Caenorhabditis elegans: one gene and its partners. The protein of the gene in region 4 purifies or fractionates together with the protein of the main gene of each other region. This does not show direct contact. Each region holds a gene or a part of one and is shown on either strand. Other genes may lie near its edges.

What was found.
Region 1: the proteins of lsm-5 (region 4) and gut-2 fractionate together in Caenorhabditis elegans (co-fractionation; one large-scale study listed by BioGRID). This does not show direct contact.
Region 2: the proteins of lsm-5 (region 4) and teg-4 fractionate together in Caenorhabditis elegans (co-fractionation; one large-scale study listed by BioGRID). This does not show direct contact.
Region 3: the proteins of lsm-5 (region 4) and lsm-6 fractionate together in Caenorhabditis elegans (co-fractionation; one large-scale study listed by BioGRID). This does not show direct contact.

What each region holds. Positions count from the first base shown.
Region 1 is NC_003283.11:13,491,120-13,499,319, reverse strand, and holds gut-2 (U6 snRNA-associated Sm-like protein LSm2), read right to left. Parts: upstream 1,580-8,200; 5' UTR 1,545-1,579; coding exon 1,542-1,544; intron 1,355-1,541; coding exon 1,287-1,354; intron 870-1,286; coding exon 738-869; intron 688-737; coding exon 597-687; 3' UTR 501-596; downstream 1-500. Other genes in the region: avr-15 (Ig-like domain-containing protein), read left to right, coding at 1-35, 91-380; eea-1 (FYVE-type domain-containing protein), read left to right, coding at 1,953-1,997, 2,054-2,227, 2,269-3,210, 3,305-3,379, 3,708-4,595, 5,616-5,945, 5,991-6,218, 6,266-6,529 and 3 more.
Region 2 is NC_003279.8:6,810,941-6,820,848, reverse strand, and holds the start of teg-4 (Splicing factor 3B subunit 3), read right to left. Parts: upstream 6,339-9,908; 5' UTR 6,320-6,338; coding exon 6,233-6,319; intron 6,187-6,232; coding exon 6,118-6,186; intron 6,066-6,117; coding exon 5,907-6,065; intron 5,862-5,906; coding exon 5,604-5,861; intron 5,292-5,603; coding exon 5,037-5,291; intron 4,968-5,036; coding exon 4,726-4,967; intron 4,647-4,725; coding exon 4,484-4,646; intron 4,142-4,483; coding exon 3,973-4,141; intron 3,915-3,972; coding exon 3,763-3,914; intron 3,720-3,762; coding exon 3,564-3,719; intron 3,512-3,563; coding exon 3,233-3,511; intron 3,129-3,232; coding exon 3,006-3,128; intron 2,945-3,005; coding exon 2,615-2,944; intron 2,541-2,614; coding exon 2,332-2,540; intron 2,282-2,331; coding exon 2,083-2,281; intron 1,521-2,082; coding exon 1,410-1,520; intron 333-1,409; exon of another isoform or gene 87-332; coding exon of another isoform or gene 1-86. Other genes in the region: ser-3 (G-protein coupled receptors family 1 profile domain-containing protein), read left to right, coding at 1-86; ulp-5 (Ubiquitin-like protease family profile domain-containing protein), read right to left, coding at 6,799-6,915, 6,961-7,066, 7,115-7,219, 7,263-7,454, 7,569-7,675, 7,742-7,835, 7,885-8,051, 8,100-8,147.
Region 3 is NC_003279.8:1,699,509-1,707,217, reverse strand, and holds lsm-6 (U6 snRNA-associated Sm-like protein LSm6), read right to left. Parts: upstream 5,858-7,709; 5' UTR 5,847-5,857; coding exon 5,734-5,846; intron 5,641-5,733; coding exon 5,520-5,640; 3' UTR 5,410-5,519; downstream 1-5,409. Other genes in the region: Y71G12B.13 (RING-type domain-containing protein), read right to left, coding at 1,213-1,420, 1,463-1,557, 2,732-3,256, 4,530-4,646, 5,069-5,095; ubc-3 (UBC core domain-containing protein), read right to left, coding at 6,431-6,540, 7,208-7,562.
Region 4 is NC_003283.11:15,566,020-15,573,221, forward strand, and holds lsm-5 (U6 snRNA-associated Sm-like protein LSm5), read left to right. Parts: upstream 1-4,360; coding exon 4,361-4,636; downstream 4,637-7,202. Other genes in the region: acs-2 (Medium-chain acyl-CoA ligase ACSF2, mitochondrial), read left to right, coding at 1,389-1,673, 1,723-1,974, 2,024-2,685, 2,730-3,105, 3,338-3,454, 3,502-3,666; fbxa-95 (F-box domain-containing protein), read left to right, coding at 5,470-5,567, 5,627-5,710, 5,760-6,345, 6,453-6,650; fbxa-94 (F-box domain-containing protein), read left to right, coding at 6,996-7,003, 7,059-7,142, 7,187-7,202.

The DNA of each region.
Region 1 (8,200 bases), 2.1 Mb from region 4:
GACTTATATTGCAAACAAGCAAGATGCTAATAAGAGTCAGTTGGGATTTTTTTTCAGAATTTTTCCTACGTTTTTTTTGCTAATTTTCAGGGGCTCGAACTGAAAGAGAGAAAGCTGAACTTCCATTCCTTCAAAATTCACATAACGATGTGTGGGTACCACGAGAAGTTGCTGAACAAGAACGAGAAGTAATGACAGTTCGAATGAATCGCCGTCAAACAAATAGCGTCTGGAAATGGATCAAAACAAAGACTGAATGGAATGACAAGTCGAAAAGAGCAGATCTTATATCTCGAGTCATGTTCCCTGTACTATTTCTCACGTTTAACATCTCCTATTGGACTCATTATGGACAATACGGTGTGGCCATCAGTACGTAATATTCTGGAATTATTTAGCAATCAAATACTTTCTACTATCATACCGGTGCCCTCAATGGAGAAAACAAAATGAACACGCCTGCAATAAACACCATTTGAAACTGTGAATAAAACCTGTTTGTTACGAATTTTTTATAAAAATAAATATTTTTTTAAATGAGATGATATCAAACTTGACAAAAAATGAGATGAACTTTGAGGAATGAACACGTGGATTTACTGTTTTGCCTTTGAATCGAGAAGCTCCTTCCGGCAGGAGTCAGCCAAGAGTTGTGTGTCGACTTGATCGGATGGGAGTTGCACGTACCTTTAAAGAATCATTTTGAAATATTTATGAAAAATGATAACTAATTGTACCTGACGACGGATCCGCGGATGAAGCAGTTTTTGACAGAGACCATATGTGGAAATCGTTCTGGATCGGAGACGGTGATATCGGTCAACTTCATGTTGAGATACTGATCGACCGAGTGCAGAGTTCCGCAGATACTGAAAAATTATTAGAATTTGCATTTGAGAGATTAGAATAAGATAATTATTTTTTAAATATTAATTTTGTGAGATTTAAACTTCAAAACTTATAAAAATTAGCAGAACTAATCTTAAATGGAATTTCATAATTTAAATTCAAACCCAGGAATGGCACTTGCGTTTAAAGAGATTTCGAGAAATTCGGAATTTTCATTATGTGGAAGTGTATCGTTGAAAATGATTTCCGTCTGGCTAATACATATTTTCGGGGAGTTTCGAATTCTTTCTAGACATTCAGAATATTGAACCCAAGAAGTTTTAAGCATTTTTTGTGAACCAATTTTTAAGAAATGTCTTGAAATTGAAGTTTTACATGGGTTCCAGTTATTTTCTCGATTTTCTGTAAATTGTATATACTGATTTAACAAACCGCACCTCAAATCATTTTTGAGCTCCACGACAACGTCCTTTCCTACGAGTGATTTGAAGAATGAGAAGAACAGCTGAAATAGTAATATTTCGTGAGTTACAACAAAAATTCGGGACTTTCTACATACCTAAACCATTAATTTAAATTACATTTAAGCGGAACAGCCTCATATCCGAGACAACCAACAGTTTTATAACACATTTAATAATTTGAGTATGTACTTTTTCAATTTATATCACAAAATTAAAAGGAAAACTAACCATTTTATGTTAAATCGTCGAAGAATTGCAAAGATTCAGAAAATTAATGAAAAAATAATATTCAAAACTAATTATAAACAAGGCGCACTGCGTCAAAACGGAGCATCGTTGCCAGACGAGAGAGAAGAGACGAAAAGAAATCAGAGGGAATCCGGTTATTTATTTGAGTGACCAACAGAGAATTCCACTTGCCAGTTTGTTTTGCGCTATGTTTGAATCATCTTTCGAGACAGAAAGAGAAGAAAATGCGCCGGTTTTGTTGTCAAATCAATGCTTTTCGCCTTCCCTCTTCGTTTATATCGATCTGATGATATATCTCAATTTGTTGTAATCTATTTCGTGTATCACATTTAAATCTCCGTTCGTTACATTCGAATTATCGCATCGATGAACTGTTGTTTTCCAGAACACATGCTTCGAAGGTTGAAAGAACAAGTTTCGCAAGTCGCGAATGATGTAAGTTTTCCGTTTTGTAAAAAAATTAGTTTTTTCCATTTTGATAATTTATTTAGATTGACGGCCGACTAAACAACAGTCGACCAAGTATTTCAAGTCAAGGTTCACAGTCGCAATCACAAAAATCAGAAAATGATCAGGAGATCGAAGGGTTCTTGTGCCCAATGTGTATGGTAGAGCTCGGTGGTCCTGATGAACTTACTGTTCATTTTGAAAAAGAACATTCTGACGTAAGTTGATTAATCTCTGATTCAATAGAATTTTTTGATAGTTTCAGACATCAGCCAACAGAAATCATCCCGATTACACTCCACCTCAGCAAGCTCCACTCGCCTTTGCTACAAAAGATCAAGAAATTGAAGAGCTTCGAATAAGAGTTAACGAAGAGAAACGTTTTGCTGAACGGATAAAAGAAGAACTTGATAATATTAAATCGGTAATGGCAATAGCTTCAGAAGTCACAGAAGATGAGATTCCATACATGGCACAGCAGATTCAAGTTCTCACAGCCGACAAAGGAATGGTTACTCGGCAATTTCTGGAACTTGAGAAAGAGAGCGGCCAGCAGTCCCGAGAATTGCAACAAGTTAAACAAGAACGTGGAGATTTGATGGCCAAATTGAAACAGATGAGCGTCACAATGCGCGAAATTACGGATGAATCTGAATCGGGCAAAGTTGAAATGGAGGATCTGAAAAGAGAGCTGAAAGTTGTGAAATCAGATGTTGTTCGGTACGAAATCGAAGTTTCTCGGCTTGAAAAGATGCTCGATCAGAGGCCTTCTGAAGATGATGTGAATGTTTTGCGTACTGAGCTAGTTAATGCTCAAAAACTAATGGATGCTATTTCTCAGGAGAAAGATATCGAAATCAAGGAACACCTAAATTCGATTCGTAATTTAAGCATGGAACGTGAAAAACAGCACATCGTAAATGAGAACTTGGAAAAGAAAATTGGCGAAGGAGAAGAAACTGTGAAGCAGTTGCAAATATCGTATGATGCTCAATCCGAAGAATTGAAACAACGAAATGAACGGGTTGTTCAATTAGAAGCCAGAATCGAAGAGAACGTGTTCGAATTAAGTGAAAACAAGCAAAACGTTAAAAGGCTCGAAGATAAAGTACAAGAATCACAAGATGCTCTTCAAATGTTATCTAATATCAATGGATCTAATGAAGAACAAATGATAAGCCTGAATTCAAAATTCGAGCGGGTTAGTTAATTTCTTTGTTTATTTTATCGTATTAGGCAAAGCTGTAACCTGAAACTCAATTTCAATTTGCCGGTTTTATAAACAATGTTTGCAGAATACAGCGGAGAGGAAACGAATTGAGGCGGTTTTCGAGGAAAAAGTAACAGTGCAAGGGGAAAGACTAAAAACGGTGAGAAAGTTATGTAAAATTCTATATCCCGGTCTCGACACGACTTTTTTGTTAAATGGAAAAGGATGTGCGCCTTTAAAGAGTACTGTAATTTTAAACTCGCTACTGCGGAAGTGTGTTTTTTTTTGAAACGGGAGTAGTAACGAGAGTTTGGCATTACAGTATTTTCGAAAATTTGATCGTGGCGAGACTGAATACCGTATTTTTTGCTCAAAAATTGTAAATTTCATATCTGAGTAGCATTTCTAGTGAATGAAAATTGTACTCTTTAAAAGAAACCCAAAGAAAAAATAGGAAAAACTCCAGCTGAATTTAGATGATTTTTCAGCTTGAAATGGCAAATCTTGACCTCACTAACGAGCTCGCCTCAATGGGATCTCTTCTCGATAAGGAACGAAGTCTTCTGGAAGAAAAGAACAAAGAAATTTCGGAACGAGACTCGTCCATCAATGATTTGAAAGAAAAGTTGGCAGAAAGTGAGAAAAAAGCAACAAAGTACAAAAACGAGTTGAAAGAACACGCTGATCTTGTCGAGAATCTTACTCTCCAACTCAACAAACTTCAAGAAAACTCGAAAGATTTAATGGAGAAAATCTCAGCCGGAGAAGGTGGAGCCAAGATGGCAATCGAGCAACTTGAACAGGAAAAAGTGAAATTAACGAATGAACTCCAAACATCGTCTGAAAAAACTAAGAAAGCTTCCGGAGAACTTGAAGCCAAAATTTCAGAATTGGAGAAAAAGCTGAGAGATGCTGAAGCATCAAGGACTGACAAAGAACAAAAATGGAAACAAGAAAAAGAATCATTCGAAAGGAAACTTGCTGAAGCTGAAGATGAAATTAAAAGGAAAGGAGAAAGATTTGTTGAAATGGAAAAAGAAATGGAAGAGGAACGACAAAAGGCAACTGACAGAACATTAAAGTTGAAGGATGCTCTTGTGAATTCGGAAAAGAATTTAGAAACAATTAAAAAAGAGAGTGAAGATCGCGAAAAGATTGTTCGGGAGAAAGACGCACATTTGGAAGAGAACAAGAAACGAATTGAAGACGCAGTTCAGAAGCTTGAAGAAGCCGAAAAACGAGCAAGAGAATTGGAAGCTTCAGTTTCGAGTCGAGATACAACTGTTTCAACTAAAGAATCAGAGCTCTCCGAGCTAAAGGGAAAATTGACAGAATCGAATTCGTTCATAGAAGAACTCAAAGTGCAGGTAGAGAAGGTTAGCTTGCGTTTTGGATTCCTTTTGAAATGTCAGTGTAATTCTGGTTATGTCTTCTAACAGCACCTACAGCTTTTCAAATTAAATTGAATATTAGAATTTGAATATTACTTAGACGCAATTTTTGAACCAAAAATATCTCAAAATATTTGATGGAGGAGACTGTGAAAACGACAAATTTTGTTAAGAGTACCGTATTTTCAAACATTTGTTGTTGCGAAATTTTTACTGTTTTCATAATTTTTCGATAAAAAATCTACTTGTTTTGAAAAAACCGCAAGTATAACAAAAAAAAAACTTAACAAAAAATGTAGCAAATTGTGAGAAAAAATATGAAAACTCAATGAAAATTACGTAGCAACAAAAGTTTGAAACTACTTTAACAAAAAATTTTCGTGTCGAGATCGGGATACCGCAAGTTTGACACAAAAGCTCGCGAACGAGTAATATCATCCGGAAAATTGAAAAAAAGTTTTTAAAAATAATTGTACCAAAGATCCCTTTTAAAAATCGAAATACAAAAAAGTTAAGATTTTCCGAAAAAAAAAACATTCCGAAAATTAACTAAAAAATATGATCTTTTAAATCTTATTTTGTTTATTTTGACGAGAAAAAACATAAATTTTCTTCAAAAAAAAGAACAATGACCAAAATTTAAAGCTAACTTTAAAAAAAAAACCGAAAAATTTTTTCTAAATATCGGAGAATTGGAAGTCGAAAAATTGAAAAAAAAACGAAAATTTTCGATGTTTCGTTTTTGTCAAAAAATCGAAAAACGGTAATAACAAGCGGAAAATTGCAAAAAAAAGTTTTTGGAAAAAATGGTCCAAAGCAAGCACGTTCCCCAAGTGTGATCCTATCCAAATATCAATCACAACTCCTTTTCTATCGCCCTAGATAACGTCCCGTCTTGTCCGTTATTATTTTTTAACTACCAATTTGACGAGCTTTCGCTAACCCTGTTTACCTATTTGAGCTTTACAATCCATAGTGTGTCGGCCTTTTTAGTATGTAATTCAGGTGAGCAACGAGATTTCCGAAAAACAACAAGAAGTCGAGAATCTAATGGCGGAGATGCGTGATAAGGAGGCTCATTGGAAAACGAAACGAGACGAATTCGAGGCTCAGATGCTTAGAAATCAAGAAGACAATGAAGAAGCTTCTTCAACATTGAAATCAGTTCAAGAACAGTTGATGAAAGAAAAAGAGACATCTGGCGAAGAAAAAAATCAGCTCATCTCGGTCAAATCTCAGCTTGAGGAATTGAAAACAGAAGTCGAACGGCTTATTCGTTCAGAAGAAGAAAAGACACAAGAAATAGAAAAATTGAAATCAGCTGTCACAGCTACTGTAAGATAATCCTCAATTTGAATCAGTTAAACAAATGTTTTTTAGACTCAAGAGCGTGATGAATTGACTGCAACATCAGAGTCTCTTCGAACAGAATGTGAAAATCTCAATAGCAAAATTCAATCCATTGAAGAAAGTCGTAGGCATGCCGAAGAAAAAGGATCTGAAAATTTGGAGAGAATGATTACGGAAAAGTCAAGACTTGAAAAAGATATTGAAGAAAGGGAATCCACAATTCAGTCGATTCAAGAAGCATTAGAAACCAAAGATAACGTAAGATAGTTCAGAAATTGATTTTTTTTAAAATTATTATTTTGCAGGAAATTGAGTCTCTGAAAACTACGCAACGTGTCGTGGAAGATGAGCTAGTTTCAAAAATCTCGCACATCGAATCTTTCAATTCTAGAATTGAAGAGTTTGAGAAAGAAATGGCCAGTGGAAAGAGAACGATCGAACGATTAGAAGCAGAAAAAGCAGAAGAAACTGAGAAGCTTGTCGTTTTCACTGGAACACAGAGCCAGAAACAAGAAGAATTGGAAAAGTTGCAGAAGGAGATTCAAGAGAAGGAAACTACGATTGCAAGGGTTCGTTTAGATTTTTTTTGTACATAACTAAAAAATAGGAAACGAATTCTTAAGAAACTTGCACGCTTTTTTAAATCGTTTTTTTTTATTAAAAAATTCGATTAAAACATCCAATTATAAATGTTAAATAAAAAAATTCTAAAACTTAATTTTTTTTCAATTTTTCAAAAACAAAAGAAAACCTTTTTTGTTTTTGCAAAGTTGAAAAATCATTTGAAAAAACATTTAGAAATTGTTCATAAGGTCATTGCAGTTCATTCATTTTCTATCAAAATGTCAAAATGACTCTTGTCCACCATTAAATATAAATTCCAGATGACATCCAGCAAAACACAATTTGAAGCCATGTTCGCCGACGTTCAACAGACACTTTCGAAAGAAATAAATGATAAAACTGAAGAAATTGAACGGCTCATGGAAAGAATTGATAGCCTTGAAAAGGTGAATCATTCAAGAATCGAAGAATTAGAGAGCAGATTGACTCAAAGAGAACGAGTCGTTGAATCTCTTGAAGCTGATTTGGCTGCAGTCAGAAATATCGAACAAGAGAAACTTGATGAGTTGCAGAAATTGAAAGAAGAATTTGATGGCAAGTTTAAATATTTCAAGTGATAAATAACATTTTGAAATTTTTTAGAATTGAAAAAAGCTGAAACAATGTGGCAAGCAGAGAAAGATATGCTAATCGAGCGGTGTCTTGGCAGTGAAAGTGACATTGAATACGAGAAAGAGAGATCACAAGAGAATAAGAGAAGATTTGATGATGCTCTTTCAGCCATGCATGAACTTGGAAGAGCCAATCAGTCACTGCAGGTAATTTTTAGCATATAATTTTTGCCTTTCGAAAATATTAAAAAAAAAAACATTTTCTTGTAAAGTTCCGCGAACGATTAAATTTTGTCGGATTCGATACGATTTTCAAAATGTTTGAAGAATAATTTTGAATATTTAGGACCTCTTTTTTCATTAAAAATATAAAAACAACACAAAAAAGAATCATTTTCGTAAAAATGGAAAAAAGCTAAAGTTCGACCCGTTTTTATGGGTGGAGATTAGAGGAAAAAGTGCGGTAATTCAAACGAGGAGATTAGAAAGAGTTGAAAATCGCCAAAATCATCTTCCTTTTTTCAAACCTAATAAAATAACTCGCCATTGACAGTATTCATGAAGGAGTAGAATCCTGTTCAATTCTAAAAAATTACAGATTGATGCCGACCGTTACAGTTCTCGGAAATGGCTTGACGATGCAGAAGCAATTAATTGTACCGAATGTGGAAAGGTGTTTTCTCTGACAGTTCGAAAGCATCATTGCCGAGTTTGTGGAAAGATTTATTGCAATCCATGCAGTTCAAAATCAGTCCGAATTGCGAGTGCCAAGAATCCAGTCCGAGCCTGCAACACGTGCTTCACTGATTCCCAGAAATGATTTTATTAATTTATAATTTTAAAATTTAAATTCAATGATCTGATTATGATCTATGTTTGTAAATTATCAAATGCCCTAATTTATATACAAGTACACTTATATTTATTAATCATATTGAATCCATCTCCCAATCCCTGCCCGTATATACAGAGTTATGTGCCATTTCACGAGACCGCCCCCAATCAAAAAGACACTCACGAGTTTCAGTTTTACCAATCCCGATCCTAGTTCATTGTGTGATACAT
Region 2 (9,908 bases), on a different chromosome or scaffold from region 4:
CTCAAACAAGTCTTGGAAACTACACACAAACACAAAATTCGGAGAAAAGTTCTGCAGCAGTGACATTTAACACTCCAACCAACTAACTAATTGTTATGAACTTATTTCAATTTTTACAATTAAATAATCTTTCTTCCGTTCGAATTCCATCCCAATCATGATTTCATTATTTCTTCTCTCACATTCTTCCGGTGAATTCTTTCCGACAATCTAACAATACAGGGTAATCTCATTCTCAGAATTGTTCGAGTTATCTGCTTCACAATTTGACATTTTCTCAGTTTGTGACTTTAAATAACTTGCAAAATTAAATAAATATTATATTTACATACTTTACAAGTCTTTGTAGATACTGCTTTCAAAGTTAAAAAACTGAAAAAAAAAACCAATTCCATTTTTCGCTTCAAGTTTTCGATTTTTCTCGGAAGCAATGACGTCGTAAAATATGAAAAAGAAGTATAGCTTCCTACAATTAACCGCTCAAATATAATTGCTTAATTTTAAACATTTCTGATATTTAGTGGTTTGTTCATAGGAAATCGAGAAGCTGACCAAATACGTTGAAAAGCCATCAAACTGAATTGAAAGGCACCCGGAACTGGAAAAGCGGAACTAACTTTGAATCTAAATTTAACACTCCAAAAAAGAGCAAAAATTGAGATATTTCGTGCGGAATTAATGTCTGCTGTTTACTGAAACCCATATAACTCGGAAGTGATGGTGATTCACGCAACAACAAAAAAATCACATTTTCCTAGCTTGAATCGTCGGAGCGAATACTAAAAGTAGCTGGCACACATACTTGAGACAAAAGGTTAATACAGAGCACACTTGAGGCGGAGCAGTTAGAGGGTGGGAAATTATTTTCGATAAAAAAATAATTTTGAGATGAACCAAAAAGGGTATTTCTTCGTTATTAAATGTTTCGAAAACAATGGAAAATCAAATGAAATCCTCACTTTTCACTATCCAATGTTCTACCACAATACTCGGAGAACTCTAGCCATTTATAAAATTGAGTCCCTCTCAGAATTTATCTGAAAACTTCTTACAAGTTAACTTTGCAGGCATTGTAGTGAATCCCTTTTGTAGTTTTTTATTGAAACATTATTTTTTAATCTCCGTGAACGAACTGAACTTTAGCCGAAAGAAGAATAACAAGAATGATCTTTAAAAACTGATAATCCATGGTTTCCTTTTCTTCGATTTTTCTCGATACTTCCTTCTAGTTTTTCACTTTTTTGTTGAATCCTTCCGACCTCATCTGTGTCTGTATGTCATTCCTTTCTCTGACTAATCAAATTCAAATTCTGCACACATGCTGCCTTCCGGCCCTTCCTATTGTCAATTTTCACACATTTTAAATGAACATTCCTGGGGGTTTATTTGAAAAAAAGAAAGAAACTGACCTTGTTTTCGCACTTTGCCAATAACTTTTTCTGTCCAATGTCGTACATTCGGAGGAATCGACCAAAACCGACGAGTGCCATGCCACGGAAATCATGAATTGCTCCCACTGGCTGAAATTTAATTTTTTTAAAAGATAAATTATGCATAAAAATCTCAATTTTGAATACAAATTTAGAAGATAAAATTAAAATAACTGAGTCATCCCCAGAAGAAAAAGTTACCAAAAAGATACGGTACCCGGTCTCGACACGATTTTTTCGAAAACAAAAAAGGAAAAACTGAAAAAATTAGAAAAACTTATTTTTTTAGTTTGAAGCGTTATTTTGAAAACATAATTTTAATTTTAAAACTAATTTTGATTTAAAAAAAATAATTACGAGTGTGATTTTTGGGAAAACTTAAGCATTTAAACATTTTTAATTTTTCAGTTAATCAAAATTTCATTTTTTTCGAAAAAAAAATGTTTTTTCATCAACACACGAAACATCTACATTTCTTTGAAATTTTGAAATTACAGTACACATTTTTGATGCGGAATCCGATTTTTCATAGTTTAAAATTTTTCGCGTCGAGAACGGTTATCGTATATTTGAAGCAATCAGTGCAAAACTTCTCCCCTGGGTAATATACTCATTCATTTTTAAATGAAAATTAAATAGCTATAAAGCTTACCAATGGTGTTTCCGTTCTGTGCAAAAAGTCGAATCGATCACCATTTGCTGATAGATGGAATGTATAAACACATCCTCTAGTTGGCCGAATGGATGTATCATTTGGATCAATGTCATGTACATTAAGAACTTCATTAACTCCACAACCAACCAGCACCATAGCTTCATTCGGATGCTTCGAGAATTGCACAAGAGCCACGCTGAAACAAATTCAATTAAAATTTTATTTTTCTGAATGAAAAAATCAAACCATTTTGCATTCTCATCTTGTGGGAGCTCAAAATATGAGAGTTTATCCCCAGAAGTCGCAGAAATTAAACTGATAGCAGATGCCCATTTTCCTCGAGCTGCTCGTGGTGCTCCGTACACTCGCTCATCGAGTCGTCGTTCACGAAGATTTGTAGCAATTTCTTGTGCAAGTTGAGCTTCTGTCTCGTCTGATGCCATTGCTTCAACGTCCTAAAAAATAAGCTTTAGTTTTCATTTTTGCTGATAATAAAAAACTGCGAACTGATTTCTTGTGAGCCACTTACCGCAGCCATTTGATTTCTCTTAATATTTTTGGTAACTTCTGTATAAGACGCATGATCAGTTTCAATCACAATTAGACATGGCATTGATGGATGAACAGCAACACGACGTGGTGTCATCTTATGTTCAAATGATTGAACATTAAATGCCACTCCAAGCTTCTCGGCTGCAATAATTCTGAGTGTACTGGCAGAAATGGCGACAATTCCTTCTGAGCACTGATTTGAGCAGAAGCTTGCCGCGTATTCCAAATTCGCATAGCTGAGTGGTGTCAAATGAAAGCGGCGTTGGAAGTGATAGAGAAGCCATGAACGGGAAGATGTACAGAGAATCTGAAATTTACAAAAAATGAAAATAAATACTTTTCTGAACTTTAAAAATAATGAAATTTACCGCAGATCGTCCCTGACATTGTACTTTGAAAAGTTTTACAGGTCTGGTACCAAGATATCGTGTTCTGGTATCCATAATAGCTCCAGTGACATTATCGACAGTATTACGGAAGAGGCATCCATTCTGAAAACGTAGTCGATTGCGATTTTGAAAATATTGTTTGTTTAGTAGACCTTTATTAATTATTCAAGAATCAAAAACTCATAAATTAGTAATAGAATACAAACCTGCAAACCAATATTCAAATGAACAGCTGCAACTCCTTTTCCATCTTCATTCGGTGTATCAATAAGAAGAATAGATTCTGGTGGACATGGAAGACTTTGAGTACTCAATGGCATAAGCATATCATTTGGATCGAGAGAAATTATTCTAACAGCGTTATCAACTGTTCCGAGTGCCAAAAAACGAGAATTGAGTTCTCCTTCTGAAATCTCACTGAACGTCATGCATGCAATATCTGCGTTGAATAGTTTTCGTTCCGTGAACTCGTTCAATGTTCCATTCTGCAAAAAATGATCATTAATTTGAATTAAGTTATTTTCTGTAAAATTCTACCAAATCTAATTCGAAATACACAAGTTCTCCTCCTGTCAATGCAACTGCAACTTGTCGTCGATTAACAGCACACTTGACAATTTGTCGCCGTGGTGGTGCCTTCCATTCATTGATACGCTTATCTGCCCGAATATGACGAATACCTTCCGAGTAGATCTGAAAAAAAAGATAATTAAAACAGAAAACTTTTCGAATATACCTGAACAAGAGAATCATCACCAATCATTGCACATCCAATAGTTGGTGTAGTTGGAAGAAATCCTGAATCTGATGCTTCTTCGACAGTATCTCCAATTGTTAGTGCAAGTGTGGCATTGACAAAGGAAACAACAATATATGAGTCATATTGGTCTGAAATTTTAAATTTTAAGAAATTGGTCAGATTTTTAATTTTTATTCTAAATGAAACCTTCGATATTCTTCTTCACAGTCCACACAGCATTCGGATTTCCAGGCAAATCAGAAACTGCCATTTCAGAAATTTCAAGTCCATTTCGAAGAACTTTCAAAGAAGATCGAGCACCACGTCCAACGAGTGAGTAAATCTGTGCTGCATCTTCTCGAGCAATATCTCCAATCTGTAAATTCATTTCGTTTTAGCTTTGATATTCAACAATCATTTTTTTCCGATTTTTCAGCTTTTAAAGAATTTTGACTTTTTCATTTTTTAAACTTAAAAATGGGTTTGAAACATGATGCTGGTGCTAAAATGAAAAAAAAAAAATTAATGTAAGTGTTTTTTTTTCGAATACTTTCATATTAGAAATTAAAGAGGAACAAAATTGAATTCCTATCGGAGTAAAATGTGTCCGTATTCCAGTTTCTACAAAAAAAAAGTTGGCAAAATTTCAGATTTTAGCAAAATTTGGATCGTTTTTTTTTTGAAATCTTAACCCGCCATTAAAACTCGTAAAACATACGACAGCATCTGTAAGAGGGCTCAAACTATCCATTGAATCAATTGGAATCAAAGATTTGAGCTCATGTGGCTCAAAGAATGCCGCATCGTTTTCTCCGAATCCCATTGCTGATGAAAATTCGTCATCATCTCCTTCACCCAGACTAGCGATTTGGTAGAGCTCACTGAAATAAATTTAATTGTAAAACGTTTGATTACTAAAATATACAATAGATTTCAATAAAATTAAAAAAAAAAACTAACTGATTTCCGAACTCTGCAGCCACGAACAAGAATCCGGATTTCAGAATACATAAAGCGTTCGCAGGCGGTACAGTATCAAAATATTTGAGTTTCATCTCCGACACAAGATCCTCATCAGTTTCCAGTGTTACTTTGAAAATATCTCCATTTTCAGCTTGAACAAGGAAAAAGTACATATTTTTCGTTTTATGAGTAGCCGTCGCAATGATGAGCATTGTTCGGTCTGCGTCATCGAGCTCGTTCTGTAAAAAATTATTGAATTCAAAATAATTTGGGGAGAAATTCAGAAAGAAAAAGAAAAGAAATCTCACTCTTCTTCTTGGAATCGGACATCTAATATCTGGTTGATCACCAAGATTCTTGTACACCAAATAGTTTTCACAGCACACGATGACACCAGACGGACCGTCATTACCACCTGGAACTGCGATAAGCAAGTTTCCTGGATCATTTAGAGGTTCCGCATACTTTCGAACAACATGATTTAATCCCAAATCAAGCTCGTAGAAGGTTAACGTTTGTTGTGTTCGTTTTGCTGCTTCTCCGGTTGGATCGTTGTCAGCATCCTGGAAAATTAGAGCTGATTATTGGATTTCACATAATTAAAAATTAACAAAACTCTCAAATTCTAATTATCTTTTTTCTCAAATCAATCTGACATTACAATGAACCTTTCACTGAGATAATGTCTATTGCTGGCATGAGCTGGCAAACTGGACGCCCGATTTTTTTCATCGAACGTCCGGTTTGCTATCCTAATCTACGAGATAACCTTTTTGAACAAAATCTTCACAACGAAAGTTGCCTTCTTCGACAATTATATAGAAACGAAAAATTGTAGTGGTCTTCAAAATAAATATTCTGTCTTGTTTCATTACCTCATAATCAAATTCCAGACACGCAAAAGTAGGATTCTCAAATCCCACATCGATTCCAACCATTGCATAACACAATGTGTGATGCTTGTGAGCTTCAAGTGGCGATGAAATTGTTAAATGTGCTTCAGAGTCTCGATTCATAATATAAACAAGCTTTTGACGTTCAACGGCTCCAATCATTAATGCACGTCCACGTGGGTCTCCAACCAAGAAATGGCCTGGAACGATTCGACGGCATCCAGTTTTTCCGAAAGTTTCCTAAAGAAAATAGTGAAAATATATGCTTTCCACGCGGAAGGTTACCTGATGCAGCCGCTCGAAACATGTTTTTTCAGCGTTATATTGTAAAATCACAATTCTACCCGAGTCTGAACCAACTGCGATGAAATCTCGAGTTCCAGCTGTCAAACGGAAAGCGAGAAGCGATCGAACTATTCCGAAAATGTCCTGGTGGCACATAACCTTAAAAATCAATTCTCGTTTATCAAAATCTGTAAGTTTATCAATTTCTTACTTTTATTTTGCCTGTAACTGTATCCAGTGTGAGCAACTCCAGTGCTGATCCGCGCCCAACAACGATTTCCTGGAAGAAACACATTTTCAATCATATAATTCTCTAACTTTTATACCTGCGCCTTGGGGGTTCCAGAGAAATTGCCCTGAATGGCCTGATTGATGGCCGATTGCCCTTGTAGTGTCAAATTGTACAAGTGCATTGTGGAACACGGCTGAAACACATATATTCATGGAACAAAAATTGAGATGTTGCAAATATTGAAGAGACATAAGTTCACAAGACTGGAATTATACGAAAACCATGTATTTCAACCTTTCCCGTCGTAAAAAGTGTAGAAAAATTAGATCTAAAAATAATATTCGAAAGCAGAGCCGTTTGAAAAGTGGGCGTGGCTTGAACCGCAATGTGCGGCGCGCGTTTTCGCAGATACATGGCACGGTTTCTACCAGGGGATGTTGTATTTAATTAAATACAACGAATAAAGGCAACAAAATTTTCATTTTACAGCAAAAATTTGAAAAAAAAAGAAGTTTGGCATGCAATTAGTTTTCAGAAATCAGAAAAAAGAACAAAAACAGAAATTTCATGATTCGATATTAAGTTCCCGAATCATATTTGAACAAAAACAACACAAGGAAGGAAGGAAAGAGTGAAAAATTACAGTGTTATTAGAAAAAATCAAGCTTTCAGTGATTGAAATAGCTCATCAAGACGTTGTCGTGGCGTTTCACTATTCAACAACGACTTGATATCGTCGTCCATCTTCAAATCAGCGAGAGCATCTGTCGGCAGGCTCTGTAAAAAATAAACATTTTTCTGAAAACAATTGGTATTGTGTACCTGCCACGCAGTATTGTATTTTGTAAAATACTCTGCGAATGCCATCATAAAGATACCACAATCCACTGAATTTTTTTGTTGCGGAAGCTTCTGACACACAACTTTTCTGAAATTATTATTAGGTATATGATGGATATCAAGAAATACAATTAACCGGAATCTCGTGCAAAACATATCAACATCAGTTGCAGCTGCGGACATCAGGAGCCAAAGACGAATGTGATCAAAAGTGGAATCATGGGTCTTATCAATAACTTCTCTGAATTTTATTTTATGCATAGCAGTTTAAAATATTTGCTTACCTGTATTTTTTTGAATGAACCAGGCTATCCATGATAATAATTCGACATTCACCGGCATTTTCATCACAATTAACATGACCGGTTATCCGTCTTGACAATCGTCTACTCTTCACTTTATTGGTCGCGTCAAGTATATTGACGTCGGAAATTCGACGAACCGCGCCTGATGGATTATGCACAATCACGAGGAACCTGCAAACTCTTTGAAACTCTAAAAATAAACAATTAGATGGAACTTGAAGTAAATTTAGAACTTTTAAATATCGAATAGTTTTCTCAGATTTGTAAAGGTTAAAAATATTTTACCAATGTTTCGGTTTGTCGAGATGAACTGGGATTAGCAGAATATCTTTTTTGAGAAACGTTTCGGCATCATTTTTGCTGCGGAAGAATCTGTTATAGTGGTTGGCGAGCTGAAATGTCATATCATTTGATGAAATCGCCATTGAAGTTTTTCAATCTTTGAAATATCTACAAACCTCTGATCTCCGTGGCGGATTCTCCTTAAAATCTTTAAAACAAGTCTTTATTTTCGGTAAGAAGAATGAATGAAAGACGTGACTACTGGCTCTTCTGTAATTATGAAAACATTAATTTCATAAAAATGTTTTTCATATCTTACGTAGCCTCATCGAACACTTCCAAACGCATCCAATCACACATATAAAATTCAATGATTGTGTCGTTGAGTAAAGTTCGATCTTCATTTCGTCCCACCCAGCCATTATGAAATAATGGAGGAATGATATGTCTGCGATCTTTGAATCTAATCTCCAAATGTGCAAGTCTCTGAGAATTATACAAATCTGAATTTTAAGGATAATTTTGTGTTCTCACCTTTTCGGGGGGTGCTTCGCATTTTGGAGTGAGCTTAGGATGAGGCATTGAGAAAATGTTCCACTATTCGACAGCAGGTTAAACCTGAAAATACTTTAAAATACGAATACGAAAACTTTTTATCCAAAAACACGAAAAAGGAAACAGCTAAAATTTTGCAAGATTGAAACGTTTCTGGGAAATTTATGATATTTTAAACATAATTCCGAATAATATCTTGAAATAAAAGGTGCAAAGTTCTAAAATTTATGAACTATTCAGTGAAATAGCGACAAGTTAACAAAAATTTCGCTTTTATCTGCAAAAAAACTCGCAAAAAAACAACAAAAAAAATTTGTCAAAAGACAAAAACTTCAGCTTTGCGGTGGAACGCAGTGAAGAGATGGTACGGTACCATCCGTCAGCGCGTGTCATTCGTGTCGAGACTCCATGTTCTTTTGGCGGTATTTCAAATGTGGTTTTACGATGTTTCCTTGTGTAGAGTTGTTCCCGCTAATTGAATGTAACAATAATTCATCAATCTCTCTTTTATTTGACTTCTAAAAATGTTCAGGTTTATTAAAAATTCGGGAACGGATGAATCTATAAACAACCCCTCTTCACGACAAAACCTTACCGACAAAGAATAAAGGTCATATTTTCCCTTTCCCTCATTCTGCAAAAAAAATAAAAGTTTATCCTTCTCTCGAGTATCCAATCAAATATATAATGCCATATCCGACACATTAATACTCTTTTCCTTTAAACAATTGTATTTTATGCTTCAAGCTAAGTTTTATTGATATTAACATTATGATTAGAATGCTGGTTTCCGATTCACTGAAAATGAAAACGGAAATTGAGATTTTACGCGCTCACAGCCAACAAAAATTACTTTTTTCTATTATATGTATTAGAATATTACTTTTTTTAAAATACCACTCATGAGCATGCATGCGATATTTGCGACAATCAGTTACTGTAGTTTTTTTTTTCATTAAATTTTCGAACTGGTCTCGACGAATCATATGCTGTTTTTATGGGATGGAATGGCACTGTATGTTTAAAATATATATTCACCCAAGTCTATCATTTATCTACCACAAAGTTGTGTTCCCTAAATAAATATAAAAAGATTCAAGCGTGAATAACAAGAATATTTTGGATGTTCGCCAGAAATTGTAGATTCCAAAATTTCCGATTATGAAAGAAAATCGTCAAGAAGATTACATGTTTTCCGTTTTGAAAAAGGAATATGAAAACACCTGTAAATACGAATTAAATAAGATTTTGGCTTCTAAATTCACCTTTTTCAAGTCGGAGCATATATTTCAATCTATACAATAAACGGGCAATTAAATAAGACAATTAAAATTTCAAAAAACTCAAAAGGTTGCTGTAACGCTGAAAAACACCATTATTTTGGCAAAACTTATGGCAAACAACACCTGCTCACTGGAAATATTCGACCTCCATTATAGACTTTTCCAAAAATTAATAATTTCAGAATGTACATACGTACGTCAATAATATGAGTTAAAAACAAATGTCAAATAATTGTATAAACCATTGCAGACAGTTACCGAAAATCTAAAAGTTCTCGGAGTTCATGATATCTATGTATTATGCCAATTTGATTTATTATGAATGGATTTACTGAATCCGCCCCCCCCCCCCCCGCTGGTGCAGATTTCGGAAAAATTACGTTATACAGGCTCCTGGTTTGTTTGACAAAAAATAATTTTCGACACAAAATTGCAATCTTAAAGAGTTCTAATTTACTGTGGACTGGGAACTGTTTCAGTGGTTATTTTTATAACTTTGTGTTAA
Region 3 (7,709 bases), on a different chromosome or scaffold from region 4:
CTGTGTAAAAAATCGGAAAAAATCAAATTTTTGTGGAAAAAAAAATTGGAAAATTCGACTTTTTTTGACTAAAAGATCGGAAAAATTCAAATATTTTGTAGGAAAATTGGCAATTTTGTAAAAAAAATCGAAAACTGCGTAATTTTAGGAAAAATCGGCATTTTTTGTATTTTTCAGCGAATTTCGAGAAAAATGTCTGAAAACAGAAACCCATAAATTTCGGAAATTAAATTTAAAATTTGATTTTTTTGAAATTGCTTTAAAGCATGCTTATGATACCACAATAACCGAATATATCATAATAAAAAAATTCAAAAAAAATTTTTTTTTCTAAATTTTATATGATTTTTGAAAATTGAAAAAATCTCAGTTTTCCCCCTAATTCCTATTTGAATTTCCGCCAATTGAACTCGTTCGTTGGAGCGCGCTTGCATTGTTTTCATTAATTTTTTAAAATTTATTTTCATTATTTCACTGATTTTCTTCATTTTTTGGGTGTTTTTAATCGGAAAATGAAAGAAACATACAGGAAAAATGCAAAATGTTTATTAAAAAGTAACTGAAAATGCCTAAAACTGTGAATAATACTTATTTCAGGCTCGTCATCGTCGGATCGTATAATTTCAGAGTTTTAGGCATTTTCAGTTACTTTTTAATAAACATTTTGCATTTTTCCCGTATGTTTCTTTCATTTTCCGATTAAAAACGCCCAAAAAATGAAGAAAATCAGTGAAATAATGAAAATAAATTTTTAAAAAATTAATGAAAATAATGCAAGCACACTCCATCGAACAAATTCAATTAGCGGAAATTCGAATCGGAATTAGGGGGAAAACTGTGATTTTTTCAATTTTCAAATATCATAAAAAATTTAGAAAATTTTTTTGCATTTGTTTTACCATGCTATTCGGTCATTATGACCCCATAGGCGCGTTTTAAAGCAATTTTTTCGAGAAAAAAAATTATTTTTTCATGTAGATTCTGCGAATTTTTGAATTTTGGCTAATTTGTGTAAAGTTTTGCAAAATCGTCGCAGGAAAATCAAATTTTTGGGTTTTTATCGAATTTTTTTGTTTTTTTATGCCAAATTTTTTAAAATTTTGCAAAATCTTCGCAGGATAATCAAATTTCTAGGTTTTTCTTCGTTTTTTCGGCCAAATTTTTCAAAAATTTCCATGATTTTCGTCATTTTTCCTCTTCTTCAATCCGTACCATAACATTGCCAACTTTCTCTCCGACAGCTTTCTTAATTTGTTGCAAATCAATTCCAACACTTTTCAGCAACTCATCCGCATTTCCACTTCTCGCCACCATTTTCTCTTCTACAGTGAAATTAATCATTCGACGTCGGGCAGTTTTCCAATCTTCACGAGTTATTGATTGTAGACAATTTTCAATGTCTTCTATCCGATAGGGAAGTCTAAAATTATCGATTTTTTGCCATTTGTTGAGCATTTCCAACCGTAAAGCCGCTCTTGAACGCTTATAGGTCATCGGAGTACGCTGGAAGTAGTGAGCATCGAAAAACTCCTGCATACGACGGAATAATTCGGATTCCTGAAAAAAAAAATCGATTTTTGGGAGATGTTAATGAAAATTTTTGCGTTTTTTTCGCAGTATTGAGCAAAAATTCGAAGGATTTCACCCAGAAAACCCAGAAAATCGCGATTTTTTTTTCTTCCAATTTTTTGATTATCGAAATTTCCGTTTAAAAATTCGAGAAAATTCGAATTATCGATTAAAAATCCAGGAAAAGTGTAATTTTCACTAAAAATTCGGGAAAATTCAAATTTCCAGTAAAAAAATCGGGAAAATTCAAATTTTCGCTCAAAAATACGGGAAACTTTGAAGAAATTCAAATTTTCATTCCAAAATTCGGCAAAACTGAAATTTTCACTAAAAAATTCGGGAAATTTCAAATTTTTGCTAAAAAAACTCGGAAAAACTCAAATTTTCACTAAAAAATTCGGGAAAATTCAAATTTTCTTTAAAAAGTTCGGGAAAAGTCAAATTTTTGCTAAAAAATCGGGAAAACGCAGATTTCCGTTGAAAACTTCGAGAAAATTCGAATTTTCAACTAAAAATCCAGGAAAATTCAAATTTTCACTAAAAAATTCGGGAAAATTCAGTCTTTTGGTAAACATTTCGAGAAAATTCAAATTTCCGTTGAAAACTTCGAGAAAATTCAAATTTCCGCTTAAAAATTCGAAAAAAACTCAACTTTTCGCTTAAAAACTCGGGTAAATTCAAATTTTCGTTAAAAAGTTCGGGAAAATTCAGATTTCCGTTGAAAACTTCGAGAAAATTCAAATTATCGATGAAAAATCCAGGAAAATTCAAGTTTTCACTAAAAAATTCGGGAAAATTCAAATTATCGATTAAAAATTTCGGAAAATTTAAATTTTCGCTTAAAAATCGGAAAAATTCAATTTTTCGCTTAAAAATTCGGGAAAATTCAGATTTCCTTTTAAAAATTCGAGAAAAATCAAATTTAGATTTAAAAATTCGGGAAAATTCAAATTTTCGTTAAAAAGTTCGGGAAAATTCAAATTTCCGTTTAAAACTTTGGGAAAGTTTAAATTTCAACTAAAAAGTCGGGAAAATTCAAATTTTCGCTAAAAAATTCGGAAATAATCAAATTTCCGTTTAAAAATCCAGGAAAATTCAAATTTCCGCTTAAAAATTCGGGAAAACTCAAATTTTTTTCAGCTCAAAAGTTCCAAATTTTCACCTCCATATTTATAATAGTATTCGACGCTTTCGAGTCGGCCGCAACTTTTTCTATCAACGAAGCCCACGATTTTCCAGAATCATTAAGCCGTCGCTTAATAGTCCTACACGGCCTGACGGCCTCTTCTTCTTCAATTTCCACATCATCAATACTCTGATTTTCAAGCTCAGCTTCTGCCGAGCAAGACGTTGAAGGGGTATTTGTATTATTAACAGTTTCGGAATGAAGACTTTCAGCTTTTAGCCTATTCTGACCACTGGATTTCTCAGAAATCGTAGTCGTCGTCGTCGTCGTCCCGTCCAACGAGTTTCTGGCGGCTCGATTTTCAGAATTTTCAGAATTTCCAGCCACTGATGAGCAACGGGAGACCGGTCGAGAGTTGGCGAACGTCAGGGGATACAGATATTGATATTTCTCGGGAAGCTTCTCAATGCGTGGCAGGGGAATGCATTTTTGACGCTTTTGGAAGGCAGTTTGGACGACATGATAGACGTGTGGAGGCATATCCATTGGGAATTGACATTTCTGCAAATAAAAAATAAATAAAAAATGATTAAAATCGGCAGTTTTAGTTTTTAAAAAAGTCGTAATTATGCACGCTCTCCTCAAAGCCGAATAATTATTAGAGCGCGCTTGCTGCGCTTCGCATTTCTGAATCCGCGGTATTTTGACTTTCCACTGAAAAAGCAGATATTTCAGATTTATCGAATTTTCTAGCTTTAAAAAAAATTTTTCTCCAGTTTTCGAACAAACCTTTTGTTAAACAGTGAAAATCGAATTTAAAATGACTAAAATGAACTTTTTTCGTCCACTGGCTGTGAAATGGTTTGAATTTGAAAAAATTAACGGGATTTTTCTTATTTTCTAAATATTTTTCTATTAAAATCGGTTTTAAAACATTTGTGACTTTTAGGGTCAAAAAAATGGGTTAAAACCGATTTTTAATAGAAAAATATTTAGAAAATAAGAAAAATCCCATTGATTTCTTCAAATTCAAACCATTTCACAACCAGTGGACGAAAAATTTCATTTTAGTCATTTTTCGATTTTCACTGTTTAACAAAAGGTTTGTTCGAAAGATGCATTTAAAAAATTTTAAAAGCTAAAAATTCGATAAATCTGAAATATCTGCTTTTTTCAGTGGAAAGTCAAATTACCGCGGATGCAGAAATGCGAAGCGCAGCAAGCGCGCTCTAATAATTCTCCGGCTTTGAGGAGAGCGTGATTATGAAATATTACTGAAAATTAATGTTTTTTAAAATCAATTTCCGGTGAACTTCCGATGATTTCGACGATTTTTCCGCCTCAAAATTACTCGATTTTCACAAAATTAACTAAAAATTGTCCGTTTTGTTGAATTTCAAGTTCAAAATTTGAAAATTCTGAGGAGACATTGCTTTAAAACATACCTATGGTACCACAATGACCAAATATCATAGTAAAATTTTTTTTAATGTTCTAAATTAAAAAAAAAATTTACTATGATATTTGGTCATTGTGGTACCATAGGCATGTTTTAAAGCAATTTCCCCACAGAATTTTCAAGTTTTGAACTTGAAATTCAATAAAACCGGAATTTTTTAGTTAATTTTGTGAAAATCCAGTGATTGAGGGGAGAAATCGTCGAAAACATCGGAAATTCACCGAAAATTGATATAAAAAACAATAATTTTCAGTTAAATTGCTATGAAAAGCTGATTTTCTCCGTTCATACGAGCCAAAACAACCTGAAATTCGATTTTTAGCTCGATTTTTGCCTGGTTTCCCAATATAAATTCAGTTTTTCATGAATTTCTACCTGAACAGCCTCACATATCCACCAAATATTATCGGATCCATTGGGTTCGGTGCTGATGAGCTCTGGCTTGAGCTGTTTCGTCTTACATCGCGGACACTTGAGCCATTCGCTTTTCATCTGAAATTAAATGAGTTTTTTGATGGAAAATTCGAAATTTTAAGGCTAGAAACGAGCACAAAATGAGCACACAAACGCTCAAACTTTGAAACTAACTGTTTTTTTTTCAATTTTCGGAAAATCGATGGGGGGACAGAAGACTGATGGATTTCGTGCGACGTCTCTCTCTCTCTTGCTCTTCTTTATCTTCTTTTGGTCTTTTCACTATGAAATTAGGTATAGTTTTTGAATGGTATCATTTGAAATGTGCGATCACATATCGGGCGGCAGAAAACCGCCTAATTCTCCTTTTCCAGTGCGGGTGGAAAGATCATCGCAAGGCGGTTTAGCCTTAGTGTGATCGCATATCATTACAAATTATCACTTACCACTCGGAGAGCAAAAGTTAATCAGTTTTTAAATCAAAAAAAAAATCAACTTACTAAGGCGGGAAGTGGTCCGGGTGGCATTATCCTTTTGAAAATTGTCTGAAAATTGCGATTGTTGCAGTGAAAGTGGCACAAAAATACGTAGAATTCGAAATTTGAGTTGAAAAATCGAAAAAATCACCGGAAAAGCTCGAAAAATCGATGAAAACGCGATAAATTGACTTAAAAATGTCTTCTTTTTTTCGAAAATGCTTCCCCGTAAATCGAATCGTGGTGAGACCCACCGCACGTGACGCATGACCGCGACGCGTCTAACGGTGAGGAAACCCAAGAAATTTCTCGATTTTTGCTGAAAAAGCCTGTTTTCGAGCGAAATAACTCAGATTTTCGGCGAAAAAAAAAACACAAATTTATTCGAGATCCAAACGTATCAAACAAGAAATTTGCTCAAAATAGCTCAAAAAAGGGAAAAATATTTGGAAAATAAATCGAAATCAAAAAAAAGTTATTTCGTCGATGTGGAGATGTAGAGCACATTGTTCCCGCGGATGAACGCATCGCCGTACTTGTTCTGAAGTTGTCCGTTGCTGTATTCTTCGGTTTGTTCGAGCGCGATGTTCATATATCTGAAAAATTAGATTTTTTCGTAATTTTTCTGGAAGAAAAATTAATTTTCAGGTGTTTTTAATCAGATTTTTTGATTTTTCCCAATCACTAACCCGTCGAGACATGCGAGAATGCCACGGTAGTCGACGCCAGAGTTGAGCTTCACCACAACCGGCTTTCCGATGACTTTCTTCAGGAATTCGGCGGGATTCTGTCGTTTGCTCATTTTCTAGAGTGCTGAAATTGAGAAAAAATATTACTTTCACGGGTTTTTAGAGTAAAAATATGTTAAAATCAAGAGAAAAATGCGTTAAAATTGCGATTTTGCTTCAAAAAAAATTATTTTCTACAGTGTCCGCAAACACCGTGACGCAAAAATGCAGACTTGCGAAAAAAATGTTTTTTTCGGATTAAATCGACTTATTTTTTGAGAATTCAACTCTAAATCTGCAATTTTCCGAGACAATTTAGAAAAAAGAAGGCTTCATTTATAGAAAACAAAAATAGTTGAAAGTGCACTGTGATCAGCCTGTGTGTGTGTGTAATTGGACAAAAAAAACTGTTTCCAGACGAAAAAATATTGAGTATAACACAAATATGAATTGATAGCTGCTTGGGAAGGGCAAAAGTGTACATATAAATGCATTGAGAAAAGGACTAGTTGAGTCGGATTTTGAAGATTTTTTGTTTGAAAGAAGCGCCAAGATTTCGTGGTATATTTGATATGAATTTGAATTTTTCTAGGTTGGAAAATTGAGAAAATTGAGAAAAAAAATGGGGAAAAAATTATAGAAAATTAAAAAAAATTGACTAATTTTCTCCTTGTCCCGAATCCTCGTCATCATCATTATAGTCCGAGCCGCATTCGTCCTCGTCCTCCTCCTCTTCATCGTCGTCATAGTCACACCCGAAATCGTCGTCTGAAAAAAATCGATATTTAATTGAAAATTTGGCAAAAATCCGGGTTTTTAACTGAAAAATCCAATTTTCTCGGGAATTTTACAACTAAATTTGCGAAAAATAGACTTTTTTTTGAGGTTTTTGAGGTCACGGGGTTCTGACCTTCCTCATTGAATTTTTCGCGCTCCATTGACAATCGCCCGCCGGAAAACGTGTGGGAAAGTCGTGTACTCCACACGGACAAATACATTTAGTTTTACAACTAAAATCGAGCCGCGGCGCGACACGCAACGCGCCGTAAATCTACCCCAGATATGGTGGCCTGGACTAGTTCGGCAAAAACTCTTCCATTTCAATTTATAAGGGAAGCCAGAAATCCGTGAATTCGTGCGATTTCTGGCAATTTACCTGAAAAATCGGCAATTTTTTTTGAAAAAAGTGTATAATTTTGCGGATATTTCGACTAAAAACTGACAATTTTTGAATTTTACCAAAAATAGCCAGTTTTAGTGCAAAAAACGCAAAATATAAGACATTTTTAGCGTAGAAGATGAAATTTTTAGTCTTAATTCACTTTAGACATCAAAAATGTCGATTTTTATCATTTTCTGGCCAATGTGACTGTAAAATTCCCGTTAAAAAGCGCTATTTTACGCCAAAATCGCTCAAATTTCGAGAAAACCCTACTATAATCAATGTCGTCAAAGACATCATCCTGTTGTGGTGGAGCCCATTTCACACAGTACTCCTCAATCGTTTCGGGCACTTGAATTCCATCTTTCTGTGCGACTTTCTTCGACTCTTCCACCTGCTTCGTGACGATTTTCGCGTATTCCGGGTCCTGATCCTCCTTCCATTTACGGTACATCACTGACGCGTCGACGTTGGCCGGTGACGAGGTGTTCGGCTCGTTGAGCAGTGAGATGACCGAGAGAAGGATGGTTCGGACGCTTTGAGTCGGGTTCCAGCGTTCACACGCGAGCTCTCCACTTTGTGGATCGTCGATTGGCGAGTGAAGGATGCTGATACAGAGGTCACCGTTCTGAAAATTTAAATTTGAATAATTTATTGGATTTTAATGTCGCGCGCGCGGGGTCCCACGTGATGTCAGAATGTTCCATTTCGTTCTGATCTACAAAAAATGCGGGAATTTTCGCCCCAAAAAATGTGACGTCAGCACGTTCTTAAC
Region 4 (7,202 bases):
TTGCCAACTTGCCGGAAATTTAAATTCCGGCAATTTGCCGATTTGTTGATTTGCCGGTTCGCCGGAAAAAAACCGTTTGATAAGAATCTAGTGAGTTGTTTTTGGAAACATGCATTTTTGATTTGTTGATCATGAGAGGTGGGCGGCAAACGATTTTTCCGGCAAATCAGAAATTTGCCGCAATTGAAGTTTCCGGCGAATCGGCAAATTACCGAAATTGAAGTGCCCGGCAAATCTGATATCCAGCAAACGGCAAATCGGCAATTTGCCGAAATTGAAAATTTCCGGCATATCGGCAAACCCACCCCTGATGAGAACTGCTGAAAGAACAAAACTACATATTATAAATTGAAACAGAAAATATTGACAACCTTCAGCTACTCGGGAAAAGTCAATTAACATTGAATATACATAGAAACGTCGAAAAAAAAGACTCAAAGAACTCCTAAAACTATGAAACAACTGTTTCCCAATTCCATCTGGCCCAATCTACTTGGAAGCAAAAAATACTTATTTTTGTCGCTTGCAACAAACACAAACACCATATCTTTCCTATCTTTCCCATTTATTTACACTCACTACAAAGCACACCCATTCTTTTCCATCGATTCCATCTTAACCTCTTCTACACCCATGTGACTTCATCTCCCCAGTGACCAACCAAATGGCGTTCTCTGCTCAGTTCGATCACACTCACATGGTGATCGTTCTCTGGTGGCGCCTCCACTTGTTTGTCGGCGGAGACACACCAACACACGTAAGGGAGGGGATGGGGGAAGCATTGAACGATGAGCGAGTGGGGCGGAGCTTTGATATGGTTTTGTGCATAATGAAAACTGGTATAAAAGCCGGCGAGGAGGATCCGGGAGACTTTCAACAGCCTTCAGATCTTCAGAAAAAGGAGGAGAAGGGATTGGGCAAAAATCTCGAGATTTCCAAGATTTTGAAGCTTTTGCAGTTATTTTCTTGTTTAGACAACCAAAATTAAGCCCTTTTTGCTCTGAAAATCACCTGCATCAGTTTGAGCATATAGTATTTGAATCGCTTTATCACTTTTTCACTTTTCTTCCCGTCTGTGTCCTCGTAACCAAACTATTCCAATTCTGTTTGAACAGGCCGCTTCCAGAGCACTATGATTTTCTGAATTTTATCAATCTTGTGAGATGTATCCGCGAGATTTTCAGCAACCTTAATATCTTCAGAATGCAGATTAAAATATATTCTCATTTATACTTTCTTCATCTAGTCATTGCATTCATGTAGGGCTTACTATCCGATTCTTAAATTCTTTGAACTTCTCCTCTGCAAACTATCCTTTTTCACCTTCTCTCTTCTTTCATAAAAAACCTCTCCAATAACCTCACATTATTCCAGATCCCATCACAAAAATGCGCTCAATCCTCGTATCCCGCCGTTTCGCCCACGTGCTCACAAGCACTCACGCAGCTCCATCCACCTCGAACATCCCAACCACAGATTCTCATCACCTGACCCATCCGTCGGTTCATCGTCAGCACACCAACAGCTACATCCACGGAACCTCGAATATTCCGCTCAGAAATGAGACTTTGGGACAGACACTGAGAAATACTACTGAAAGAGTTCCGGATAAGGAGTTCTGTGTTTTTTCCAAATACCCAATTAGAAAGACCTATGAGGAGTTCTACCATGACGTGAGTTCCCCTTTCCTAGGCTCTTTGACAAAAGGCTGTAAACTTTCAGGTCCGTCAAATGGCAGCCTCGCTCTACACTCTCGGTCTCGAGAAGGGAGATCGTGTCGGAGTCTGGGGACCAAACTACTACGAATGGGTGGTTCTCCAGTATGCATGTGCATTTGCAGGAGTCATTCAGGTCAATGTCAATCCTCACTACCTCCACGAAGAACTTCGTTTTGTGATGAGAAAAACTGGAATGAAGGTGCTCTTTGCACCAAAGAGACACAAGCACAGCAACTATGTTCACACAATGCTTGAGGTAAGTGTAGATCATAAATTGCACGTTCTAGTCTAAAAAACTCTTCCAGGCAATGCCAGAAATGCGACGTGGCCAGCCAGGAGTTGGACACATCAAATCCCATGACATCCCAGAGCTCCGCCACATTGTGCTCTACGGAGATGACGTCCCCGTCCACGGAGCCTGGGTCTACTCTGACTTAATCCATGCTGCTGGAAGTGCAGAACGCGCAAAGCTGGAAGACATGGATCGCAAACTTCGACCGGATGAGCCAGTAAACATGCAATTCACAAGTGGAACCACTGGTCATCCAAAAGGAGCAACTCTGACCCATTTCGGGCTGAACAACAACGCATATTTCGCAGGAATTCGCCTTGGATGGGATAGAGAGGATCACAGAATCTGTATCCCAAACCCTCTTTACCATTGCTTCGGATGTGCGGTCGGAGTGATCAACGCGGTCAATCATGGACAAACTGTGGTCTTCCCATCAAAGTCCTACCATGTTCCGGATATCTTCGAGGCTATTCAAAATGAGAAATGCACCACGATGTTCGGCACACCGACCATGTTTATTGACGTGCTCAAGTCTCCACTTATGAAGCAATTCGACATCTCATCCCTTCGAGGGGGTGTTATCGGAGGAGCCCCATGTCCGATGGCTTTGTGCGAGAAGATGGTGAAGGAGATGAGAATGACTGATTTTTCAGTGATCTATGGATCTACCGAGACGTAAGTTCTTCTTTGTCGAAATGCCATCTTACAGCTGAATTCAGATCCCCTCTAGTCACCATGTCGGAACTCCACGTGGATCCATTCGAGCGAATCAAGTCCGTCGGGTCAGTGATGCCACATCAAGAACTCGCCATTGTCGATGAATTTGGAGTCCCCGTGCCAACTGGAGCTAAAGGAGAGCTCTGGTCTCGTGGCTACTCGACTATGCTCGGCTACTGGGCCGACCACGACAAGACCAACTTGGCAATTACACGTGATCGCTGGTACAAATCTGGAGATACCGCCACGATGAACGAGGATGGAACTATCAATATTGTCGGTAGAACTCGTGACATGATTGTGAAGGGTGGTGAGAACGTCTATCCGACCGAAATCGAGCAGTTCTTGCATAAGTTGGACTATGTCGCTGATGCTCATGTAAGTTTGGGAGCTTCTATCTTTGCTCTTGGGGGTCCAATCAAAAAGTTTATTAAAATATCAAAAAGTTTATTAAAATAATCTACAGAAAATTCTCTACATTTACTCAGTTGGCAACTTTTTGATACTTGTAACAACTGGCGAGTTATTCTCGTTTAAATCAAGGGCACCATGACTACTTATGGCCTGAACTTCAAACTTATGGCCTAACTTTTCAACAAAAAAATTCCAGGTCGTCGGTGTGCCAGATGACAGGTACGGAGAGAACATCTGCGCCTGGGTGCGTCTTCGCGTTGAGGATGAAGGAAAGATCACCGCGGAGCACATTAAGAAGGCTTGTAAGAGAGGAGTAAGTTATTAATCCATTATTTTAAAATATACAGTCGAAATTTCCAGATGGCTCACTACAAGGTTCCAAAGTACGTGCTCATCAAAAAGGAGTCCGAATTCCCTCTCACAATTTCCGGAAAAGTCAAGAAATTCGAAATCCAAAAGATTTCCAAAGAGCTGTTGGGTCTCGGAACTGTCAAGTCTCACTTCACAGAAGCTGTCGACAATTAAAATCGGGTTGAACATATTTCCTATATTTTAAGTTGCCTTTTCGCTGGGATTTCCTTGCTTTTTACGGTCTAACCGCTATAATTGTAATAGTGACATATTTAACCGGGTTTTTATGTACTCTTCCGTGTATTTGCCATGTATTTAATTGTGAGACTTGTACAGAAATTGCGATTTTCTCTGAATAAATAGCTTTAAAATTCAAAATTCCCTCCAAAAGTGTACAACGACACTCCGAAATGACGCATAGTCGCCTTGCTTACCGTAAATCGACACACATTTTTTTAAAATCGAAAACATTTTTTTGTTGGATTTTCTTCGTTTTCCCTCGATTTTCTTGGAATTTTGTGAGTTTTTATTGTTAAAATATTTTAAAATTGCATTAATGGTATTGTTTTAACTGTATTTTTCATATGATTTTCGATTATTCCAGCAAAATTCTTGTAGAAACGACTTTTCATCAAAATTTTCTAAAATCGATTGGAAATTAACACGAATTTTACTGAAAATGAAATTTATGTGCAAATTACCGGTGAATTCAGCGAGAAAACATCAAAAATTCTGGAAAAATAGGCTTTGAAAAAATTTTTGTGAGGAAAAATTTTAAAAAAACTTGATAAATATCATCTTTTCCCCTCATTTTTCCTGTTTTTCAGCAATTCCTCTCAAATTTTACCCGATTTTCTTTCCAGAAACCATGGCAACCTCAACATCCACCAACCCAAACACACTTCTCCCACTGGAGCTCATTGACAAGTGCATCGGCTCGAAAATCTGGGTGATAATGAAGAACGACAAGGAGATCGTCGGCACTCTGACAGGCTTCGATGACTACGTGAACATGGTTCTGGAGGACGTCGTCGAATACGAGAACACCGCCGACGGCAAGCGAATGACCAAGTTGGACACGATTCTTCTCAACGGAAATCACATCACGATGCTCGTGCCGGGAGGAGAAGGACCAGAGATTTAATTGATATCTGTGAATATTGTGATTTTCTAATACTTTCTATTTTGCCACGAATCTCTCCGATTTTGAAATAAAAATTGAAGGAAATTTTGGAAAATTTTATAACAGGAACAAAACAGAATGAAGAAGCAAAAAGAAAACAATTTTTTTTAAATCTGTTTTTTCAGCATTTTTCTCTTTTTTTTCTTATCACTTAACAAGTACTTGTACATCTTGCAGGTCTTGTAGGATCATATTCAGCACGTGTTGAGAATAGATAGCAGCTTTCTGATGCTCTAAAAAGGCTTAATTGTTCAGATCGTCCCTGGAAATAATTTTTCGAATTCTGCTCGAGCTGAAAATACAAAAATAATCGCAGAATCGCCCAAAATACGTGAAAAAGTGAAAATACTTATCGTGTTTGATAGCAACCTTAATTTGTCCTGTTAAATGACAAAATTCTTAAGTTGAACTGTATTTATTTTAAGTTTTCTGCCAATTTTTTCCAAAAAATCAAAAAAGTTTCCCGATAGTACTGTATTTCCCAGAATACGTAAATGCGTATAATGTATCATAACTGACGCGCAACCAAATTTGTTTTTTTTTTCGAAATGTTTTTAAAGCGCCTTTCGCCGTTTTGGGATATAATTTATCATTAAACTTGTTATTTTGTTGAGGAAAAATCATTAATTAATTATTTATTGCCTGGTTTCTCGCAAATTTCAAAAAGTGGGCGTGTCCAGCCAATCAAACCTAAAATTTTTAAGCTGAGCAATAAAACAACGATGTGTTTTTTTACCGTTCCGCTGTTTTTTTCCGCAATTTCTCATTGAATTTTGTAATTTCAGAAGAAAGTAATGTCTCAAATAGCTCTCCGCGACTCTTATTCCCTATCCGTGACATCAAATGAAGCGACTGTCGTCGAAATCGTTGAAGATTTGGATTCGATGAAGCTGTAAGCGGAATAAAAGATGAAAATCAAGGATTCGAGCTCATTTTCTTTTTTTTTTATAGGTCGGGGAAGAAGCCACCATCATTTTCCGATATGCCACTCGCCGTTCTTCACAATATCTTGGATCACGTGAAGCCAATTGATCGGTAACTAGAACTGTATAAATTTTTCTATAAAAAATATGAATATTTCCAGGCTTATCGTTCGCAAAGTTTCCCGTCGCTTCCGTGACACCGTCGACGATCATGATCCTGGTTTCAAGGCAATGGTCGTTCTCACCGGTGCGCGCGAAGATGTCATCCTGAAATTCGACGACTTGTGCGTTTTTTATTGTCGAAATGGCGCCGGATGCTCCATCAAGTTCAATAAGCATGGAGCACTTCGCGAAAAAAAAATCAAGAACGGAAGCTATTTGAAGCTGGCTTCTGCCGACTTAAAAATGATTATCAATAATCCGAAACTTCGTCTGGAGTCTTTTGAGCTCGATTTTGTCAAGATTCCGTATACCGCCGACCAAAAAGCAAACATGGAAGTCGTTCAAATGTTGCTGAAGTCACCTAAAAAATTAGACGTCGAAAAGCTCAAAATCGTTGGATTCCATCAGGAACAAATCCCGATGGTTCTTCAATATTTTGAAAGAGATCACATTCAAGAGCTGAACTTCGGAGGTGCCGTTTGCCTCGGACATCCTGGAAGATATGCCGAGTTGAAACAATTGAGCCATATTCAGATCCAGAGCATGAAAAAGGTTGCGGAACAAGATGCGGCGCATATCCTTGAGGCAAGTTGTGTTGGGGACAAATTTTAAATTTTGAAAAAATATATCTATTAACTTCTTGAACTAAAAAACCAAAAAATACAAAAAAATCTTATTATACCGCTTTTCAGCTTCTCAAACGCTCTGCCACCATCAAATCGATCAACATCACGTCATGTTTCGGACAGGACTTCAGTGAGGCCGTCAAAATCCTTCAGCCGAATTTCGCCAGAAGACCTAGTGGCGGCACCGACTTCTCCATCAACGGCAAGGAATTCCATGTCGAGTTTAATGTTCAAAACATTAAAATCGAAAAGAAAGTTCGCTAATTTTCTGATTAAATTGTTATATTATAAATAAACCTGTTGAGTATTTAGTTATACATTTTGATTATTCAAGAAAGTTATCATTTATCTATCATTCCTTACCCCATGCCTGGCTTCTCGCAAATTTCAAAAAGTGGGCGTGTCCGGCCAATCACGAGTGTGATTTCTTAAGCTGAGCAATAAAACAACTATGTTTTTTTGGCGTTTCCCGTCTTGTTTGTGCGATTTCTTTGAATTTTTGAAATTTCAGAAGAAAGTAATGCCTCGAATAGCTCTCCGCGACTCTTATCCCGTATCCGTGTCGTCAAATGGACCGAATGTCGTTGAAATCGTTGAAAATTTGAATCGATGAAGCTGTTAGCGAAATAAAATATCAAATTCAAGAATTCGAGCTCATTTTCTTTTTTATAGGTCGGAGAAGACGCCACCTTCGCTTTTCAACATGCCACTCGCCGTCCTTCACAATATTTTGGACTACGTGAAGCCAACTGATCGGTAGAACTGAATAACATTTTCCTAGAAAAAATGAATGTTTTCAGGCTTGTTCTTCGCAAA